2 linked regions of the Astyanax mexicanus genome follow. The protein of the gene in region 1 interacts with the protein of each later gene in a biochemical or structural test. Links are inferred from orthologs where the notes say so. Each region holds a gene or a part of one and is shown on either strand. Other genes may lie near its edges.

What was found.
Region 2: the proteins of abcc4 (region 1) and mpp1 form a complex in vitro, tested with the Homo sapiens proteins (2 studies listed by BioGRID and IntAct, with this or other methods). The link is inferred for Astyanax mexicanus from reciprocal best matches to the Homo sapiens genes ABCC4 and MPP1.

The regions. Positions count from the first base shown.
Region 1 is NC_064412.1:55,549,372-55,557,097, reverse strand, and holds the start of abcc4 (multidrug resistance-associated protein 4), read right to left. Parts: upstream 3,512-7,726; 5' UTR 3,321-3,511; coding exon 3,247-3,320; intron 1,705-3,246; coding exon 1,594-1,704; intron 1-1,593. UniProt on the Homo sapiens protein: ATP-dependent transporter of the ATP-binding cassette (ABC) family that actively extrudes physiological compounds and xenobiotics from cells.
Region 2 is NC_064424.1:19,033,934-19,041,604, reverse strand, and holds the start of mpp1 (55 kDa erythrocyte membrane protein), read left to right. Parts: upstream 1-4,086; 5' UTR 4,087-4,207; intron 4,208-4,455; 5' UTR 4,456-4,468; coding exon 4,469-4,591; intron 4,592-7,671. UniProt on the Homo sapiens protein: Essential regulator of neutrophil polarity. Regulates neutrophil polarization by regulating AKT1 phosphorylation through a mechanism that is independent of PIK3CG activity.

The DNA.
Region 1 (7,726 bases):
CTCATTCATGCTTAGAACAACACCCTTTTCAAATTTAATACAATAAAATCCCCACTGATGCAGAAATATCCTATAAACAACCACATGTAAAAAAAAGACTGCTGTACATGACCTTCAACTCTGTAAAAAGTGATATGCCTACATTAGGTCACAGTGATTTACAAAAACAAACAAACAAAAAAAAACTATGAAATGGAATTGATTATTCTGAAGTTACATGCCATTTAACTGTACTTTAAACATAGGAGCTTTAAAAGTAATATGACTTCAGGGTAGAACATTTATGTGTACGCTTTTGTCTTCTAAACACTGGCTCAGCTCGAAACGATTAGTTTTCCTCCAGTTCTGTGTCAAAAGCATGCTCTGATTTACCCACTGATACTGTAAGGGGACATTTGTAAGATGAAGCACCGTTTTTAGAACTAATTTTGGATTAAAGGCTTATTTTCATCACTTACATGGTGGACAAGAGAAATAGTTAGACAAACTTAGCACATATGATTGATGAGTGATGGGCGGATTATGATTAGAGGAGCAAGAACACATACTAGACAGTCCAGCATGTTTAAAAATGGCTAAAAAAGTTAACTGGCTGTTTTTTCGCTAACTGAGACTAACCGAATAAACTACAAATAAGTTGTAACTCAGATGTACAAAAAGATATAGCAATTTTCCACTACATTTCTGACATTTTCCTTGACAGACTGCATTAGACCCTGTGTATATACTCTGCTGCCCTTTAGCTTTTGGGTTTTCTGATGAGTAACATACATGTAATAGATGAAATAAGATAAAAGATGATAAGTCCTGAACCCAACAACAACCATGACAATCTGATACTGGCTTAACATGGTCCAGAAGCACAGCATAACACTGTGTTCATGGTTCATGTTCTATTGCCTCAACTGCCAATTGCCAAATACTCAGACTGACAAAGAAAATAATCCAATACTGTGAGAAGGAACAAATAAAAACCCTCCTAAGCCTGGGCTCAATTCCTTTAACCATATCAAACTTTATTGCATTTCTGGTTTGGGTAGCATTAGCTCCTGGTACTCTTCCACATGAAGCCCCAGCAGGTGCTTAAGTGAACTGATTGTATTATCCGACGCAACCATACTTCCACCCTTGGCACACAGGCTCTACAAACATTACAAGCGTCTGTTCCTTCATTACATGTCACACACACATGCTATAGATGTCAGTGCAACATGTACTGACAGTGTGAAAATGCTTCCTTTCCCTGCAGCTCCCATTCCACTAGCCTTATAAAAACAGCTCTGAGGTGCCGCATTAAGCAATAACCTTGGCATGCATTAAAAACCACAGTATTTAGTAACACTATTCACACTTCACCACCATAGACTTTGAACATTTAATAGGACTGACATTTCCAAACCAAAATTTGGTTAGCAACTAAATGGACTGACAGGAAGTATAACCTTTGTACCTCCCAATGTAGTTAGTAAACACAGCAAGACATAAACAAATCAAGACTTTATTTAAGAACACATGGATAAGCAGAGCAGCTCAGTATTCTAAGCATGGGTGATGTTTTTTGTGTCCTGTGTACAGCTTTATTTGTTTACATACCTCTGAAGTTCCCCTCCCAGTCTCTTCGACTCGTCCTCAGGAAGCACTTTAAACATGTCATCTTCCTCAAGTTTTCGTTTGTATCCAATGCGAAACAGGGGGTTCAGCCAGCTGAGTAAAAAAAAAAAAAGAGAAGGAAGACACAGCACAGGGCTTCCCGAAACTGAAAGTGAAAATTCTCAACAGCAGCAAAGCTAGCAAAAAAGCCAATGTTTCACAATGTAAAATGACCCACAGCTACTGTTTTTGTCTACGTTCTTATTAGATAAAATGATGAGATGAAACTCAAGTTCAAATGCTGCTAAAAACGGCAGCAAAGGGAAACAGCTGTGCTTTTGTGAGATGTTTACTTTCCTGTAAAAAGGTCAACAGCAGGCAGGTTAGCTAGTTAGCTAACTAATAAAAAAATACATCTGAAATAAAAAATGACCTTTCTTTTCATTCTATCTTTTTCTTTTATTCCATTCTCTGGTGTTTTAGGGCATTATAAAAACATAGTTATTTAACTATTTAGCTAGTTAGCTAACTAGTGATTCTAGGTGATTCTCTTTAGGAAAGGATCATCAAGAGTCAAGCTGACAACCAGCAACTGTAAAGCTGAACAACAGCCAGGTAAGGTAACTAATAACCTACCCAGAGAACCTATTTGACTAATTTAGCAAATACAAAAATAAATCAGCACTAATAGCTAGGTAACTATGTATTTACTATAAAAAATACATTAGCTACTAGACTTTAGTACTTTAGAAAACTTTAGAATTTTGTATTTAAAGGCAGTGGGAAAGTGCCAGGTAGCGTTTTTAGTTATTAATGACATTTTTATAACATTATTAACGTTGTTAAAGGCTAGCTAAGGTGAGTCCCTATAGGAAAAGCATAATCAAGAGTCAAGCTGACAACCAACAATAACCTACCTAGAGAACCTATTTAACCAATTAGCTAATTTAGCTAATACAAAACTAAATCTGAGCACTAAAAGTTAGGTAACTATGTATTTACTATAATAAATACATTAGCTACAGATCCAGTTTAGACTTTAAGACTTTGGAAAAGTTTAAACTTTTGTAGTTAAAGGTAACGTAGTGGAAAATTTCAGGTAGCGTTTTTAATTCTGAATTACATTTTTATGACATTATTAACATTGTTATACTTTAGCCCTACAGAAAAAGCACATGCATGCTGAGAACCAAAAACAACTTTATAGACAGATAACTTTAGTTAGGTTATGTAGTTAATGTCAGTCACTGGATTTTGTAGCCAAGAGGGGAGGGGGATCACGTGTGTGAGTAAATAAAAATAAATGAATAAAAATAGTAACTACAGCCTGCACTGTAAACGTTAACGTTACTTCTTTTCCTTCTGCTGCTGCTGCTGTATGAGTAAGCTAGCTTTTAGTTTAGCTAATCTGGCTAGCTCTTGCTCATTAGCCTCTGCTAGTAGTTAGCTAACCTATAGCTTATTAACTTTAATTAGCTAATTTCCTCAGTTGAACTTCCTGACATATGTTAGATAGGTTATGTCCAGGTAAAATAATTCCTCAGTATTTATTTTATAAAGGTTATTTCTTCCCCAGTAGCCTAAAACAGCCTCCATACACACTTAGCTAACCTATATAAACTCTCACAGCCCGCAGTAACCGGCTAGCTCACTCACCAGAACAGTATCTGAGACACAATATTAGCAGAGGCGGCCGGATTAGTCTTCACATCTTTGCCCACGGGCTCCATATCGATTATTATCCGCTCCGGAGCTTCACCCGCTCATCCGCGCGCTGCCTCGCTCACTTTCCTCCTCACTTCTGAACAGATTCCTCATAAACTGTTGTGTAACTTCCCCGCGTGCACATGGTAATCAGCAGGTGACGGAGGCGCTCGCGCTGCTGCTCTCGCGCTGCTGCTGTTGCATCGTAAAGACAGCCGGCAGCGCTGTAGATGAAGGACGCCGCCCAGCTGCCCGCGAGGGCGCAGCTCGCTATCGGCCCAGGGCGTGTTCCCTCGCAGCCCATTGGTCCATTGTCCCCGAGGTGCACATTTCCAGGAGCCTGGAGCTGTCACTGCTGCACAACAGAGTGTAAAGTGTGTACTGTTATCATTAAAAACAGCTTAAAATTGTGAAATACCATCAACCTTCACCTTTTTTTTATCACTTTTTTATCAGTCAGTTCTGTAGTAAACTGACTGATAACTGAGAAAAGAAGCACTTCAAGGACAGTCCATTCTGTAGGAAAAAGTACATTTGGGACAAAAGTAGACAAAAGTCATAGCAGCATTTAATAACTAAGCGTTTATCTAGAATTAAAAGAGAAAATTAATTAATTTAGTTATTTTTTTTATCTTTGATTCATTTTATATTGTATTGCTAAAGAGAGCACACTGAATCTCGATGTCCTTGTAAAATGACATTAAATGTTGTACATTGACATTAAACGTCATTGTACAAGGACATTGAGATTCAGTGTGCTCTCCTTAGCAATACAATATAAAATAAAACAAAGATTTAAAAAAATGTAATAAATAAATAAATAAATAAATATTGGTCTTTTTTTCCTTTATTGATCAATTTCAATGTTACATTAACAAACATTCTTTATTTTTTAACAACTTAATCAACTCCCCCAAGCTATCTAACCCCCCTCCCTAGCCCCCCCTAAGTGGTTCCTCAGGTGTTCATGATGGTTGCTATGGTGTTGCTATGTGACACCAATAAATTCTATCCAACAAATTCCTGATATTTGCTTATTTAGGAGTATTTTATTCTAATCCCAGTATGATGATTTCATCATTGCCATGGGAAATACATCACAATAATACTGTATTGTGAGATGCCCTGTGATTCCCATCCCTAGAAGGGGTGACAGGAACCAGCCTGACAGAAATATGAAACAGAAACGTGATTTAATATTGACCCAATGTAACTACAAATCTGATTAGACGTTGCCTTTGAAGTCCTTGAGCTCAGATTGTGCTCTCTCCAGTGTTTTAAATGTGGAAGATGTGGAAGCTATTTTACATATTTACTGTCATTAAGTATAGATTTGTTCCAGTCAAAGCAATAATATAAGTCAATGTTTTAAGATAAACATGTTAGCAATTATTTATAGTATTAGTGTTTAGTACACAAGTGGGCCACAGATATTGTTTGTGCCCATTTTTAAGTGGTTCCTCTATCCCACACATCATTTACCTCATTAATAATTAACAAATCTGTCACCTATTGGGTCAGGTGTGTTAGAGTATTGGTCTCCAAACCTGGTTTTAAAAGCAGGCCCACTGCCCATGACTACTGCCTGAGAGACAGAGATACCAACATGTACGGGGTTCCCAGGACTGCCTTAGGTGAATATATGAAACAACTGAGCTAAAGGATATTCCCTTTGAACAGTTCTCATTTTAGGTTTAGAGCCTTTTGATAAGATGTGTTTGTTAGAATTCTGCTTTTTGGCCACAAAACCAACAAAGAAGGGCATTGTAAGTAGAGCTCAGCATTGCAATGGCCTCAAAAAAAAGTTCAGTCTTCAAGCAACAGAAAAAAAAACCACACTGTGCTGCTGTGAGTGAAGAAATACCACATGTTGATCCCGCTCTCTCTCTCAGTACCAGCACAAAGAAATCAGAGAGCATTTCAGTCCATATTTTAGCTTTTTTACAACAATAAGTGTAACTTGCAGTAAGGGCTGACAGAAAAAGAATCGCATTAAAAATCACTCCTGCACTTTTTAATCCAGTTTTTCTGCTTAGATGAACAGGTTTAATTAAACTGCATGACCAAAAAAAAAGGTCACAAACTCTAATATTTGGTTGGCTCACCTTCAGCTTTGATTGCGGCACACATTCGCTGTGGCATTGTTTTAATAAGCTTGTGCAATGTCACATTATTTATTTTTAAATCCAGTGTTGCATTAATTTTTCACCAAGATCTTGCAGCAGCATTGATGATGGTAGAGTCTGACCAACCGCTGCACAAAGCAGCTCTTCTCCATCCAGCACATCCCAAAGATTCTCAATGAGGTTAAGATCTGGACTCTGTGGGGAACTCTTTCAATCCATGTGTGAAAATGAAGATCTCATGCTCCCTGAACCCTGAACTATTTCACAATTCCAGCCCCATGAATCCTGGCATTGTCATCTTGGAATATGGCTGTGCCATCAGGGAAGAAATATAAAATCCATTGATGGAATAACCTGGTCTATATTCAGTATATTCAGGTAGTCAGCTGACCTCATTCTATCAGCACATACTGTTGCTGAACCTAAACCTGCAGAGCAACTGCAGCATCAACCAACCCCACATAATTTACTTACTTACATCCAGGTGGAGACTTTTCTGACCAGGCAGTGTAGTTGGTGCACTTTATAGTGAATAGAGTACAGTTTTAGATATACTGTGACAAATACTGGATATTAGTAAGCTTTAGAGACCTGCATGGAAGTGGATGGAGCGGTACAAGCCATGCCAGTGTTTTGTTCTAGTCAATACTGCTTTCTCTCTCTTTCTCTGTTTTTCTACTTTTCTCTCTCGTATGTTCTTTATAGGTTATCCGTTGGCTAAGCCTCTGAAAGGGCAGTGCATGAAAGACGCACAATGAGAGACAGAACAGGTGGGCAGTACATTGATAAAGGGAATGGTGAAAGACACACACACACACACACACACACACACACTGTAGAAAAATATTCATGGGCTCAACGTAGCTCAGTCAAGTCAATATTACTCAGTTACGTTGTAAATACATACAATTTTATGTTTATTCAACTTCACTGAGTCAAATCTAAATGATAACAGATTAATCAGTTATGTTTATTTAACCTAACGGAGTTTTGTTCACAAAACAATAGTTTAATTAGCTCAGCAGTTTTGCAGGCTTAAAGAATTTAGTTTATTTAAGATATATATAGGTATTTTCAACATATTTAAGATATTTTTTATAGAACTGCCACTACTGAAAGTAAAACACATACTGTGACAACTAGGAGCACAGAATAGAGGTAACTTGCTCTTACAGCCTACAACACTGAGGCCTGGCAATCAACAAATATATTATACTAATGCACGACTAAGATAAGGTAGCCTTGGGCAACAGACAACACAAAGATGGTAAGTAAGGGAGAGGCCACACCCAATATGCAAATATATGGTGCCAGGAGCCTATGAAAAAAAAAGCTGTACGAACCAACACTGATGAAAATAGCATTGACACGTGTAGTATAACTAAAAGTTGGTTTAAATCATATTTTTTATTGATAATATTAGATAATATTAGATAATATTAGTTCTCCTGACTAGAACACAAAATCCCTTTTTAGAGTGCGCACACACACACACAAACAGTATGTGTTTAACACAACAGAAACATAGTGTTGTTTGTTTAGAATCTAATACTGACACCAAAATCCCCACTGTGAGGCGAGGCTGAGAGAGTGTGAGGTTGTGGTGAAGCTCCACAGTCTGAACAGCACAGGATCATTAAAAATGGTACTTTAAATTGTATCTGCAAATTCTGTGGCATTATGTTAGAAAGTCACTTTGTGATTTAAAACTCAAAAGAATTTGGGTTAGTCCATATAACAACTAAGCCAAGACCCAGAAATAAATCAGCAGACATCCGTGATTCAGTTCTGTTGAAATGCTGTGGTGTTACACTGCACTGAGCTGATCAACAACAGAAAGGGCTGCGGTTAAAGCAACTGAAAATAATTCCACAGTTCCACAAGTTCGTGAATATGAGAGTTTATATCTTGGCAGGATGATTGCAGTGCTCAGTATTTGGGTGGTAATACGTCTGAAATTATAATTATGACTCCAGGATTAGCCTCCCTCCATTACTTTCTATACCCTAAAGTAGGGGTGGCCAATAAAAGAAGATATATATTTTTTGAGATGATTATCCACACAGAAGACATGTTGACTTGATTTGTTTTGCCCAAGAATGCAAAATATTTTCTCTTCTTCATATGTTTTGGTCCTGTTCTAACTTTGAATTCTTTGCTGTAAGATATATAGGTTTTTGAGAATAATAAAAATAACTTTAAATAAATACATTTCTTTAACCCCTAGGCTAGCCATGTGTGGTAATGACCCTGCTTTACCAGAGAGTGAAGAAACTTCTTCTAAAGTTTATTAAAATGGGCTTAAT
Region 2 (7,671 bases), on another chromosome or scaffold:
GTGAATTGCTGTTATCTGTTCATAGAGTGATGACTAGAGCCATGGTTACAGACTGAAATTTCAATTTAAATGCAAATGATAAACCGTGAACCTCAAACAGTATTTATTTTACTGAATTATTAATTCAGCATAACCAAAACTATAAAACTATAGCTGTACAATTCCAACACCTCATTTTATATACACTTCTAAAATTAACATGTACCCAGTGCATTAGAAAGAGCCGTTCAAAGGCCTAATCAAAGATAAGACAAGTGCCTTTTCAGGTAAAAAAAGAAAGCAAGTGGGTGTTCATTTAATATTAAAAATATATGGATTGGTCCACTCAAAAATAATACAGCAGAAAAAGCATGAAATTGTTTTAAATTAAACTTTTGCGTGCTGTGTTTGTTGTTAGCAACTGGCGCTGACTGTTATGTGGTCTTTCACTTTGTTTAGGCTTCAGTTCAGATGCCTGTTCAGAAATATCTTGCAGTCAGCAGCAGCTTCACTGACCCGAGCTTTCGCCTCATTGGGCACCAGCTTTACACGCAGGTTGGTGATGAGAGCAATGAATCTCAACAATAATAATATAGTGCAATAAAAACGACTTTTGGATAATGTCTTGTTCTGCTAATAGACTAGGAGGGTTTGGGTTATCTAAAGTTTATATTATCTGCTGCCAAAAATATTTTTAATAAAATGACACCATCATAAGAAGTAAGTTACTTTCAGTAGAAAAAATAAATAATAATAAAATAAAAAATATAGTTTTTACTTCACACTTTTTTGTAAATATACAACAAAATTTACATGCCAATAATAATAATAATAATAAGAAGAAGAAGAATCAAATCTGTTGCTATATTATTTAAAATATTAGATGAAAACTTATCTAATATTTTTGTCATATATTTATATTATTCAGACATTACATGCATAATTGTTTCTAACAACAGTAAATGTAATGTGAAGTAACATGTTTAGGTTGTAAAGTGACCTTTAGTTGGATCTAATAATAACCAGAAGTACAGAAAAAAATGTGATTAATCGCTTCTACACCACTTACAGATGGGTGCTGTGAAGTTGTCATTGTGCCATCTCTACCAATCAGCAAAGATATTAAAAACTGTGTTGGACTCAAGCCCTCAGTTCTCCAGCATCAGCCTCATAGAACTTCCTCAGCTAGATGGGCCTAGTTGTCTCGTTGTGTTTTTTTGCCAGTGTTTGGTGTGTATTGTGAGTTACACACCAGCAGATGGCAGCAGATTTTCAGAAAAGAGACTCTAAAAACATTTGTTCTGTGAGGCACGTGGTTAGTTGCCATTCTGGTGCCCATTTGGTTCACAGCTTAGATGTACATTGGTCATACAGAACATGGAGTGTATCTATGTTGACCACTTCATGATATCATTAAATGGTAATGGTGCGTGTTACTATTTCACAGTAGATCTGTACTCCTAAATCTTATCCAATGGTGATGTATGTGCCTCAGACCTTTTAAAATATTTGGAACGTTCCTTGCAGCACTATGTCCTTCATTTAAACTCACAAAGTCCCTAACTAACATATACTCAACATCCTGAGCGGATTACATGGCAATGTGTGAATCTGTGTTCATTCATCTGACCTTATTTACCGAATGTAGGAGTGCTGGGTTAGTGCTGAGATAAAACTAGCTACTTTTAAAATGTATTATTAACTTCTACAGCTCTGTTACAACCATTTAACAGTTCAAATGCTTTAAATAGTATAGGCCTGATTTCTGGAACAAAATGTTCAAATACAAGTTATCAGGATTTAACCTTAAAGTATTTACATAAGAAAAAAAAAACAGGAATGAGCTGCTTACTGATTTTTATCTTACTCAGTTTTTAATTTGACATCAATATTGACAAATGGGTCTGGGCTCTTATTGGTTAAGGAAATGGCACTCAGTAAAAGCTGCACATCTTAAAGTCAACATGCCCAGTGCCAACTTCAGCTAGAAGGGGTTATTTTGAAAAGGGACAAAAAGCTCACAAGTTTGTTCTGCAATGGCAGTGTTTCTGACATTTTGACAGCATTCACAAATTCTGAATATGTGAATGCTGATGACATTTCAACTGCACACACAAAGGCGTACAACACAAATTGAAAACATTGGAGTTATAGATATTGTATGTGCACTATATTTACAGAGCTGTAGTGCCAAATACTATAAAATTATACTGATTTACAACATTATGATAATACTGTATCACTTTATAATGTTTATCTCTACGTAACATATCTAGGGTATGTAGGAAACTATAGTAATTGCAATACACACATTGTGTACAATTGAATAAAAAAAAACTGAAGTTGAAAATACCAGTCTAGCTCCACTAAGACTGCAACTTTTGAAAAAAAATAATTTATTTATGTAGTGTTTTATAATACTTCAATGATCAGCTATAATGTTTTCTCCTCTCTACAGCAATATATGGCACTTGTGTAGTATCCTGAAGTAAAGAAATATTGTAATTATGTAAATGTACTCCAGGTAATTTACAAGGATCCCTCTTGTAGTGTTGTAGTGGCACGTGCTTAAAATCTGCTTTTAAATTCTACTTTTTATATTTGTTCAAATGCACATATATTTATTTAGATTAAATAAATGACTAAAGATGAATAGATTTAATATTAAATTGTGTTGCACTGTATACGATTATTTAAAGCTGCCTCGCTTGTGTAATGAATGCTGCTCTAAGGCAGCTTTATAAAGCTGATTAACTCATTAATGCATGCTACCTTAATAAAATGCTATCAGTGAACCAGATGACGGCAGGCATTGGATGATCAATGGAAGCACTTCTAACAAGATAAGATTAACATTTTTGAATTGCTAGAAAATGCATTCTTTGTTAAGTGTCTGTTAGTGTTAATATTTGCGATTTATTGTTTGATTGAATACTGAATAGAATGTTCTAAAAAATAAAGAGAAATTTTTATTTACATAATTGAATCAGTATTTAGTTATTTAAATGTTTATTGTGTAAGCAATTTATATTTCAGAAACATCAATACAATTTTCTTCAAAACAATGCAAAACCAAATGCAGCACATATCTACTGACGTAGAGAGTAGAGATACTGGAGTGGCCTGCCTGCAGTTCCTAGCTGTCCCTAATAGTGAATGTGCAGAGTTTTGAAATTAAATGTATGTAGGACTGTTTGCAGGAAGAATGGGACAAACTAACACCAAAAAAGAATGGCAACATTGACAGGTGGTAAATGCTTTACCATTCCAGCTATTTGGGATATCTACTTGGAGGAACCACCTTGATTTTCATATCCCATAGCCAATATTGTATTGGATAAAAATAAAAGCTCTTGAGCCCATAATAAGCTATTCAAAGGGCTCTGACACACTAAAAATAAAAGTCTAGGCTTTTTAAACAGTGCAATGTATAATAAAGCGGTTGAATATCCTGATGTCAATGTGAAACACAATAAATGAATGCTATTGAAATGTATACTGTAAATGCCAATAAAAATTATTTTGAAGTTTGTGACATTTGGACAAAATGTTTGATACATAAAAATATATAAAAATATTTATTTGGTGGCAAAAAATAAGCAGTATTGAAAAAAACTTACTCTCTGCTGAAAAAATATATCAAACCACTATAAGCCCAAACTTCTGAGCCTGGTAGCTGGTTAGACCCTCTAAATCCCGCTTGTAGCAAGTAACGTACCCATATTTTAGGATTATTAAAGGAAGGTGATAAAAATACAACACGTCGTTGTGGACTTTTTGCCTACCCTTACAATGGCAAATGCCATGCTAGCTAACGCTATATTTTTTACAGTAATCTTGCAGATATTCGTATATTTGTTTTGACAGCACTGCACTGTTTGTTTTGGCCGCCATATTTGAACCCGTTAATGTTGACATTTCCACAGCGCTCGCGTTAGTTCTGTACAGGCTCATTGCAGAACTGGTTAATGTTGTTTAAGGTTAAGACTTGGACAGCTCTCTCAGAGGCTGTTGACATTTCCACCACTCTACCACTACACACACACTCTTACACACACTCGCTCACACACACACACACACACACACACACACACATTCGCTCAGTCTCAGCTTTAGCATTAGCCCCCTCCTCCCTCCGCTCCGTCATCATATCCACGTAACTGCTCCGCTCTGATGGAAGCTGCAGCGAACCCACCCCCAGGTTTCTCCTCCTCCAGAGCCTCCATACGTAAGTGTTTATGCGCTTTTGTCAGCTGGTTCTCCACAGCAGTAACAGCAGTAGAAGCAGCAGGAGCTCCATCGCCCTGAACTTCGGACTTCGAGCAGGAGCTGAACTTTTATCTCACACTTTATCTCCAGCTTCCTTATCGCTCTTTTTTCCGCCCTCAAGACTCCCCTCTCTCTCTCTCTCTCTATCTCCCCATCTGACCAGAGGTTATTTTTTAACCTCTATCCCCCACCAACCTTTTTTTGCAGCGACTCTGTAGATATGACGTTAAAGTGCAGTAAGAACGAGCCTGCCGTCACTCTGGAGCGGGTGAGCAGCGTCCGCACGGCTCTCTCGGACCTCTACCTGGAGCAGCTGCTGCAGAACAAGCCCAAGGCTGACAAGGTGAGTAACCTAGCTAGCTGAGAGCCCTGTACTGAACCCAGTTCAGTACTGTCCTCAGTGCTCTTCCATTTTCCCCTCTTTCCCTTCATCCCTTCCTCTTCCTCTTTTCCCTTTCTCTCGGTAGCTTTCAGGTCTCCTCCTCGTGTATCGTGACTGTATTCGTTTGGTCTTTGCTGGCCTGCGGTGTAGGCAGATGTGGTGGTGCTGGTTCAGACCGGCGCAGCCCGGTTTGTGTTCAGCATCATCATCATCATCACCAACATCAACAACATCACCCCCAGCCTCAGGCTGCTTCAACTTCAGCCAATTCACAGCACAGATCAGCTGGAGCTGCTAGTAGCTGCACTGCTGTAGACCCCAAAATCCATCTAGCACTGACTGTAGACAGTATAAAAAATATATGTACTATAAAAAAAGATGCAGAGCTTTCAGACCTCAATAGAGTTCAGAAATCAATATTTGGTGCAATAACCCTTTTTTAATCACAGTTTTTATGCATCTTGGCATGTTCTCCTCCACCAGTCTTACACACTGTTTTTGGATAACTTTATGCCAATCCTGGTGCAAAAAGGCAGTTCAGCTCGGTATGATGGCTCGTGATCACCCATCTTCCTCTTGATTATATTCCAGAGGTTTTCAGTTTGGTCAAATCAAAGAAACTCATCATTTTTAAGTTGTCTCAATTTTTTTTTTCCAAAAAAACAAAAGTGCTCAAGCTGTTCTGGAGTTTTTGAAGGGATGCCATAAAAGAACCAATTTTGGTTTATATATGATATATATATATATGAAAATATAAGATATTTAGTTCACAATGGTTCTTTAAACCCCTTAAGAAGTGTTTCTTCAAGGACTCTAGATAAATGCTAAGTGGTCTTCAAATGAGACCATATAGAGCTGGTCAAAATGGTAAAAAAAAATTAATGATATTTAAATTTTAAATTAATATTATTTTTTTATTTTTCATGATACGTGGTTTCATGATATTTATCGCAATATTTAGACTCACAGACTGAGGTCAGTGTTTTTTGTTCAAAATATGCAATTAATCTAATCAAACAGGACTTATTACACTCGCTGTGATTAAATGTACAGTTGAATTAGTGTTCTTGAATTAGTGTTCTTCATTTATCACAGTGCACTAAATAATTGTAGGGCTGTAACTAATTGTTAAATTGGTAGATACCTAATCTGATGGTTATTTTTCTGATTGGTTGTTGATTAGTCAACAGTTATTTCTGCCATGCCCCCATCACTTTAAAATGAAATAAACATCTGAAAGTGGGACTTAAGTTCCCTGTAAATGCATAAAAGATGTTTAAATGTGGAATATGGGTTTTTAGAGAGTAAATATGTAATCTGTTGTGTGTGGACACTTTTGGAGACAGACCAGGTTGTAATTGTAAACTATGTGAATGAGCCTATGAACTCTTTTTTCCATTGTGTTTTATTCCCTAACACTCTGTGTAGAGCACTGGTGTCACAAATTAACTATTTATAGAGTTGACAATTTTCATAGTTGACATTGTCGGTTACATCTTGGCAGTTCTAAAATATCATCATACTGCCCACCGTTTCTTAGGAGAAGCACTTTTGGTTTCTATATAAATATTTCAGTGGATGTTTCTTAGCCCTTAGAAGACTCCTCTTAAAGAACAACCCTAGAAATGCTTGGTTCCATAGAAAAAAAGAAAAACATTGGATTCCATAACAAACCATGTTTGTGTAAAGTACTTTTAAATTGGTAAAATTCTTGAAACTATTATAAGTTTTTTTTTTCATACATATTTTTCTCACATATTTTATAACAACATGGTTCTTCTGTGGCATTTGTCATAGATCCCATTGTACCATTTATCACAAATATAAATGGTATTAAAGAGGTTTAATACATCTTTACAAATTAGCTTTTTAGACCTCTTTTTAGACTAGAGTCTCTTTTAGACTAACTAGAGCACTAGTTAACTAGTTTTACTGTGGATCAAGTTGGGGGATCAAGACCCAGGTTTGCTGCACTGCCACTGTTGGGCCCCTGAGAAAGGCCCTTGAGCATGTGTGTTTGCTCAATGGTGAATAACACACTGTGTGTGTATTCATTGCACAGAGGGGTTAAAGGCATAAGTCAAATTCCATCTGCGTCCAACATAAAGGGTTGACTTTGTCTTCGTTTTAAAACAAAAAGGGTCTTTTATAGTGTTAAAAGGGGGTTCTTTGACTAGTTAATATGGTGGAATCCTCTAGGGTGCTATATAGAGTTTTAATGGTTCTCCTGGTGTATTGTGTGTATATATAAACAACACTTTTAACCTATAAAATTGCTTCTCTTACACACAAATCTCTGGTCTTTTTCATCACAGAAATACATCAGAGTATTGATTAATTGATTGATTATTTTGCTCTGTTCTCATGTAACACGTGACATGACTCAACTCCAGTCATTATTGGAAGCCCAGTTTATAAAAGCAGGCTCATCACTGACTAATGTATTAGCACAAAAAACACTGTGATGTAATCAAACAGACAAAGAGCCATCTTCTGAGACACACTAGCTGAGAACATCTACGTAAAAGGAACACATGCTCTGTTAATCGTTAATCTTACAAGTGCTGTTCTTTGGTTGACGTTGTTATGAGCCTAATGCAGTTTTTCTCTGATTAGCCTGACAGATTGAAACCCACCCATTGGGTCGTTAATGTATACAAGGGTCTAGAGATAATGTTCTTTGAAAGGATCCGAAACCGTTCTAGGTGTGAATGTGTAGCTGGGGGAAGGGTTAACGAACAAGACCAATCTGCCCTCTATTGTGTCATCAGGAGGGTCTTTATAAGCCAACTGGAGCTTTATTGTCTCTTCAGGAGAAGGTTGAGACTTTAAGAAGCAACCATATTAGACTGACTTGCATTAGAGTGGCTTTTGTGGACAGATTGTTTCGTAAAGACTTTGGTCATAAGCACAAGCTACTGCTGAGTTAATCTGCTCGGTCAACAGCGGAGGCTTCGTGTTCATAACAGGTCAAAGACCTGCAGTAAAACTTGTGGTATGTAGGAACACGCAAAACAAAAGGATTAAATCTGACTTTACAC